2 linked regions of the Drosophila melanogaster genome follow. The protein of the gene in region 2 interacts with the protein of the main gene of each other region in a pairwise test. Each region holds a gene or a part of one and is shown on either strand. Other genes may lie near its edges.

Region 1 (3,757 bases), on a different chromosome or scaffold from region 2:
ATGATCAGGGCTCCGGCGGCGTCACCGTATCTCGCATCCCGCACGCCTACCACGCACACGTGCTCCACCTCCGGGAGCTCGGCGATGATCTGCTCAATCTCGTTGGGCCAGTAGTGCTTGGACTTGTACTTCAGCAGGTCCTTCTTGCGGTCCACCAAGTACAGGTTGTTGTCCTCGTCGAAGTAGCCCAGGTCGCCCAGGTTGATCCATCCATCCTGGAGGGTGGTGGCCGTGTCCTCCGGGTTCGAGAGGTAGCCCTCCCACTTCAGGCCGATGTCGATGAGCACCTCGCCCGTCTGATTCACGCCCAGCTGCTGGCCATCCTCGCCTTGGATCTTGATCCTCATGCCGGGCGCCAGTCTGCCTACAGAGCACTCCAGACTGTGGTCGATGTTGATGGTCACCACTCCCGTCTCCGTGGTTCCGTACGAGAACATCACGTAGGTCTTGGGCAGCAGCTCCTGGGCCCGCCGCAGTAGTGCCAGGGATATCCATCCTCCAATCACGAAGGCTATCTTCAGGGACTCCAGTTGCTCGCTGGTGGCCAGTGGACTGGTGAAGAGCTCGTAGGCCTGCCATGGCGCCATTGCCAGGCAGGTGACCTTGTACTTGCTGACCAGGTAGAGAGCCGTCTCGGCGCTAAATGTCCTCCTGGATATGATGCGAGTGAAGCCACATGTGAGATTCATTACGGTAATCGAGAATCCGGTCATCCAGTCGATGGTGGCACTGGTGTACAGCACATCGGTACTGATGCACAGCCTGTGGGAAGAGATGGGTTAGACTGGCTAGTCTGGGAGCTTTGAACTTGAGAACTCACGAGTTGGTGGATGCAATGTGGCGGTGGGAGAGGGCAACTGCCTTGGGCAAGCCAGCAGTGCCGGAGGAGCACAGGACCACGGCGATCTGGTCGCCACCAGTGGCCAGGGAAGCAGGTCTGAAAGATATTTAAAATAATGAATTTATTGAAATTTAAATTGATTGAAGATCTCAAACTACTCACACATAGATCTTCTCGGCGGGATGGGGCTTTACGAGGTCCTCGATGCTAGTAACGCCCTCCACTTTACCCGTGAGCGTGATCAGCTTGGGAGACCACTCCTTGGTGATCTCCTTGATGCGGTCGTAGTCCGGACCGTCGATGAACATGATCTTGGGTTTGGTCACCGAGTAGAGACCCTGTACGATGGCCGGCTCCCTGGAGTAGTTGACGGCGTGGAAGGGCGTGGCCTGGAAGAAGCAGGCGGTGGCCACGGGGATCACGAAGGTGCTCGAGTTGGCGATGATCCCGACGCGGTCCTCCTGGGTCAAGCCCTCGCTCTTAAAGAATAGGGCAATCCGGGTGGCGTAGGCCAGCATGTCGGCGTTGGTCAGCACGGTGCCGTCGTCGTCGGTGATCTACTTTTATATAATCGAGCTCATCAGATTCCCGTCTCCGCCGGCTACCAGTCACGCAATCGTTTACCTGAATCACATTGGTGGGCCAGCACCTCAGGGAGTTGAACACGATCTGACCGACCGAGGTGTTGTGGTCGTAGACCGTGGGCCGTGGCGGGCCACTCCAGACCTGGGTCTCCTTGTTGAAGAAGGTGGGGAAAACCGCCTTTGTCGGCATTTTGCTAGTCCAATTCTAAATCTCTACTGAGTGCCCAGAGCCGTTACGTTGTCTTTTTATATCGCCCTGAAGGGGCGCTTATCATATCAATTAAGCAATTAATCGCTACACTTGCCGAGTCCAAAGTTTGGCCAAAATAAGTCGAAGATTTACGGTAACATCAGCTGATTCCCGAGGTGGGCTCGTCTAATCTAGCCGGAGTCACTTTTTTAATTTCCGCTCCAGGAGGCAGTGACTTCCGTACCACTTGTCCCATGGGAACACCTTTCAGAGGCAGGTGAGTAAGCAAACTTCGCCGGGGTCAAAAGTATTAATTCCCGAACTTTTGTCAGATAAAAAGCTGTACTATATTCTTAGAAAAATATTTAACAGATAGATTCTGACGAACGATATCTTGGAAACTATAAGGGATTACCTTGCAAGTACAATATTTTTCGTTCTAATTTGATTGCACCTGGTATTACTTGGACGTGGCATAAAAAATGTATTTTGTGATTGATTAACAGAGAATTGCGCTTTATATTGTAAATAGTTTTAAGCTCGTGATATTAAATATCCTTTGAAGTATCTATTTGACCCGCCTGGAACGTTTACTTTAAGTTTTCAGAAACTATTTCGCCAGCTTAACCTGAACTTAAATGTTGTTCTGCGCCGCTTTCAAAGGACTCTCCGAAATAGTTCCTTTTAAATGAACTCAACGCCGGCATTTTATTATGGCTGTAATAATTTCGGGGAGGGCCACGCCCTGTTGCGCTATTTGCATTGTGTGTCGGCGCCCCAAAAGGGGGGCTGTACCTCGAAAAGCTCCGGGAGTTCGGTTGCATGCATATATTAACATGAAATTACAGACAGAGCGGCCAAAAGCGAGCAAAATAGTTTAAAGTGTTTCTGAATTTGTTTGGCAAAATGAGCAGGACCCGGCGAAATGCATAAGCAAGGACCCGGACAAGATGCTCCCGACGATTGGCATGCAAATGGGGGGTGCCACCGCAGGAAACTGCATCTTAAGGCTTTAAGTCCTACGGACTTTCGGGCAGGACGAGCCGCCGTTCCGAGTCAGCGAGTGCGAGTGCGAGTGCGATTGCGATTGCGATGCCGATTTGATTGGCGGTTTTGGGCGCCAGTCCTGGCGGGTTACCCCAACGTGGTCTCCTTGCCCACTCGGGCGTGACACGAGGCGTCAGTTAATAATGTGCGTTATAATGAGATGCCCCCACCTCCCAGGTGATTCCACCGCAAGTATGTCGGGTTGACGAGATGCTATGGCCGTACTTGTGGATGACTAATCCGACGGACAGACAGCCAGTTTGTGCTTCAAGTGCCGGCTTAATTAATTAACATCACTCGAGTGCGAACTGTTACATAATTGAATTAGCAGTCGATGGCTGATAAGGAAATACTATTATTCCACGGCTTATCGCCCTCCGCGTCACTAATTCTTTCTGAATGAAAGTGCACCTGCGCTTGGGGGTTTCACCTGTGTGATAAGACTAAAACTTTGTTGCCAGGATGGCGAGGTAACTGTGTCTCAAGTGCAAATAGTTGCATAATACGGCGGACTGTCGATGCCTGATAAGAATACTATTTCACTGGAGATCCCTATTGTTTTCTGAATGAATATAGGCTTCCTTGATGGGGTTCCAAATTTTCGATAAGAAATTAGTGGAGAAACTAATTGGGCCCACTGATATCTAGTTTGTAAGCAGGCGGCTTATCAGCTCCAACACTGCCCACCGTGAGACATCATTTTGCATTTGATTTTAATGGTTCCCACAATTGGAATACCACCTCTAGATAATAAGTCATTTTAAGCTCGAAGTTAATTATTAATATTCACTGCAATATAGAGATATATACTTAGATCCTAGATACGATGGTCACTTTCATAAACTATAGTTTCCGTACTTTTTTCGCACTTGCTTCCAACTGTCTGGTATCAGCGGTGTGCGGTCAGTGTCCCTGACCTTAGACACCAATCCCCCGGTGGCTCGGTGGAAAACATTTGGATTTGCGTTCGGGGCCTTATCACGCTTATCACACTTGTTGGTGGTCCGCCACGTGCTCGACGGATGCCGCCGAAGCGCAACTGTCATAAATCTTGCATACGCACCGTGGGCATGCGCAAAACGGGTTCCGATTCCG
Region 2 (3,757 bases):
CGCCCCTCGAGGCATTGACCGTGGAACATGGGGCCACCAAAACATTGGAGCACTGGGAGTTACCTGGTTGACTAATTGCCGTGGGCGTTCCGCTTGGCATCAATCAGTATGGGATGGCGAAAAGTGGATGAAAATAAAGTTATTCATTTACAGATACTGTATACTGCCTATTAATGGAGAAGTGTGGAGCCAAGGAAGGGAAAATCCAGTGGACAGACGAGTCGGTCAGCAAATCGAACGATTAAACGAACAATTAATTAGCCCCCGAGCAGACAGGAGATACATATAGGTTGGTATACACTAGTAAAGATCACTTGCTGACCTTGAAGTCGCGCACAGCGGATTAAAGGATTAGCCCCCAAAGCGGCATATTCCCCATTTCCTTGCCACCTTGTCCCCACAACTTCCATTTCGCAAAACGAGAAGCGTGTACGCAAACAAACGGGCCGTTGAAAAGGTGGCTCCAAGCGGAGGAGCAGCCACCACACGATCTCTGGCATTATCACACTTCAACAAAAGCTAACAAGACGCAGGAAGACTCCAGGAGCGAAGTGCTCTGAATTCGGGAATGGTTGAGTTATTGATTTATTTAAACATCTTACTAAGGATGATTTTAAAAAGAGTTTGTTTAATAAAAAAAAGTTTTAGTTTTCTTTACTCTGACGATATGATTTTCTTTATCTGATTCACAAATCCGCTTCTGATCATCAAGGAACATGAACGGACGCGTCTGCAAAAAAGGGAAACAAAGCTAAGGCGACAAATGCTCGTGCGACAACAACAATTGGCTGGATCTCCTGATCAACTCTTCCTCCTCACCGTCTCCTGACGCCCCCCACCCCCCACGCGCTTTAATCAAGCAGAGCCGCTACAAAAACAGGAGCGGAGTGCGGGGGCATGGGCGAACGGAGCGTAAAAAGAGAGGGCGAGAGAATCAGAATCTTCAGCGCAACGCGCATGGCCATAAGTAATAAAATAAACACGGACCGAGGCACAGAAAGGAAAAAAAGGATGGCAAAAAGGCAGAAGGCGCAATGTGTACATAAATCTTTTTGGTGGAGCGAGAGGCCCAAAGACCTGGGCTATAAGCACATCAATATACATACATATAGTATATATGTATATATACATATAGCGGGCGTGGCCTGGCAACTCGTTTTTGACTTTGAATTTCGCCACGCAAATGGTCGCGCTTAGTTTGTATTCTTCTTTGCATTTAATTTTTGTTTATTGTCGCGCTTTTTCTAGTGGAAGAGGAAGACTGGAGAATCTGCGACCTTAGCAAGAATTTCAGTCTAATTTGAAATCAATTTTTGAGTTACTTTATATTCCAAAAAGATTGATTTTTAATTTAAAATAAGTTAAGCAACTATGTAAACGATATTTTTTTAGCAGTACTTCTATTTGTTATTATTACAACAACAAAAAATTTCGTGTAATTAGTTTCTATTGTGACTTTAAGCTAAAGTCGCCATAAGCTGATTAATAAAATCAGCACAGCATAATTATTTATATTAACTTTGATTTGTTTTTTTTTGCGTTGCACGATGCCTTAAAATGAAATGCATTCAGAAAATGCAAAAGCAAGGGCGTCTGATTAGAATGCGTCGAGCACAGAGTTCGCCTTTCTTATCAGAATACAATAGTTTCAAGCGCAGCTTGCTGGGCAATTGAATAAATGCTGATAAGACAAAGAACAAAAGAAGTATGTATGTAATTCGATAGCGATAAAAAGGGGACGGAAAGGAGGAATAAAATTGATAACTGTGCCAGTTCACCAGCTTACCACAAGTGCCGTTGATTGAGCAATTTGAAGCAATGACCCGACCGCATAGCAACAACAATAACAGCAAGTACAACAACAACACCAGCAGCGCACACCACTAACAAATCACAATTCTCCAATTGGAGGGGGCAGACGCAACGGGTAACGCAACAATAACAAAACACTTTCGTTTGCGCGGCGACGAGAGTAAATACGAAATATCAACCGACCGGCTTGTTCAGCATTTGCATACTGCGAAAAAATCTTTATAAACAATATATAACGCAGGCACAGCTGAGACGCTCACACAGACGAGCAGACACCCGCACACACCTGCACGCAATTTTGGAGAGCGGGAGAGGAGCAACAGGCGCAACGTAGGATTCCTGGAATTCCTTACTTAGCGGCGCCCATGGCAGTTGCACTCGCGATCCTACGCTTTAACTAGAATCTTTTCCGTTTATTCACGTGGCAGCTGTATCTATGTTTGATTGGTTTGTTTACACTAATTAACTGTAATTAAATAGTAACGATTTAATACGAAACTAAACGCGCCGCCGCAACTTCTTTGCAGTGTGACCGCACTTCGAGTGGGGAGATACACCGATATGAAAATAACTACTCTTAAAATACCAGAAGAATACAAAATACCACACATACTGCCTTTTATTTTATTTTCCCGCGTATTTCAATATTTCAAAAAAATAACTAGTGATTTTAATTATTTCTTCGTTCCAAAATTAAACAAGCAATGTGACGAAACTTTATATATTTAAAGCGCAATATACTAAAGGAAGACGACTTGGTATAGTTACTTTTTTTAGATTACTAACAATTTAGAACCATTGCCGCGCAATTTTATTCAAATCAATTATTTTTTATTTGAAAAAATACTGTACTTAAGTACTTAACTAGCTAGAATTCGTTACACTTTATCAGGCCTACAAAAATAGAGTTTAGAGTTAAAAGAGTTTTGGTAATGCACGACAGCGGAGTAAGTTCGACACAAAATGCTAGTTAATATTGGGAATGAGATGCCCTCCAAGTCCACATCACTTTTCCTTCTTCTGTATGGAGGCAATCCGCCAGGCGCCCACCAAATATCGCACCCAGATCATGAACAAATCCCTGCCCATTTGCAGCCACGACCAAAATGGTGTCAGTTTCGAACCATCGATCTCCGTCCATCGAACGGCAACCTCGGACATTGGTAGCTTCAAATTCTCAGCGAGGTACAGCAGCTCAACATCAAAGGCCCAGCGCTCCACATGCAGACTGGTGAAGAGTTTCCTGGCCGTCGTTCGGGTGAACAGCTTGAAGCCACACTGGGTATCGCGAATGGAGCGCACGGCAAACAGCCAGACGAGGAAATGAAAGCCGTGCATCAAAATTGTTCTGTGGCAACGCAGATCAGTATTTGGTCAGCTAATAAATGTAGGATTTTATCTTACCTGAAGAAACTCCTTGTTGCAATCGCATCGTTCTCCAGATGTGCTCTCGATCCAATGGCAATGCCATCGTCTCGCCATTCGGGAGCTAATTGCTTGAGGGCCACCTCCAGTTTATCGTAGTCGGGAAACTTGGTGGCTCCATCCGCATCAGCGAAGAGCAGATTACGACCCCGTGCACTTAGCATACCCATGCGAACGGCACCTCCTTTCCCACGATTTTCGATGAGTTCCAGCACGCGTACCTTTTCTGCTCCGTGCTTTTTCGAGTAACCCAAGGCGACGGATACGGTGGCATCCTGACTGCCGTCACTGACCACGATGACCTCGTATGTGAAATTGGGAGTGCCAGCAGATTTCTGTTCCAGAAAGGCCAAGCACTCGTCCAGCATAGAAGGCACTAAACGAGTATAAACACACACAAATGAGAACAAGAAAATCGAATAGCTTTTGGGGAAAGTAACTTAAAGTAACATGTTAGTGTAATGAAGTTTCTGTAGATAAATTCGGGTGCCAGACAATCAATCACAAATGGGCATAGATA

The links.
Region 1: the proteins of Btk (region 2) and CG4563 interact in a two-hybrid assay, tested with the Drosophila melanogaster proteins (one large-scale study listed by BioGRID).

The regions. Positions count from the first base shown.
Region 1 is NT_033778.4:24,451,391-24,455,147, forward strand, and holds the start of CG4563 (uncharacterized protein), read right to left. Parts: upstream 1,651-3,757; 5' UTR 1,616-1,650; coding exon 1,466-1,615; intron 1,399-1,465; coding exon 1,004-1,398; intron 938-1,003; coding exon 821-937; intron 763-820; coding exon 1-762.
Region 2 is NT_033779.5:8,298,720-8,302,476, forward strand, and holds the start of Btk (bruton tyrosine kinase), read right to left. Parts: upstream 2,028-3,757; 5' UTR 1,787-2,027; intron 1-1,786. Other genes in the region: wol (wollknaeuel), read right to left, coding at 2,818-3,160, 3,217-3,613. UniProt on the Drosophila melanogaster protein: Required for proper ring canal development. Also required for the development of male genitalia and for adult survival.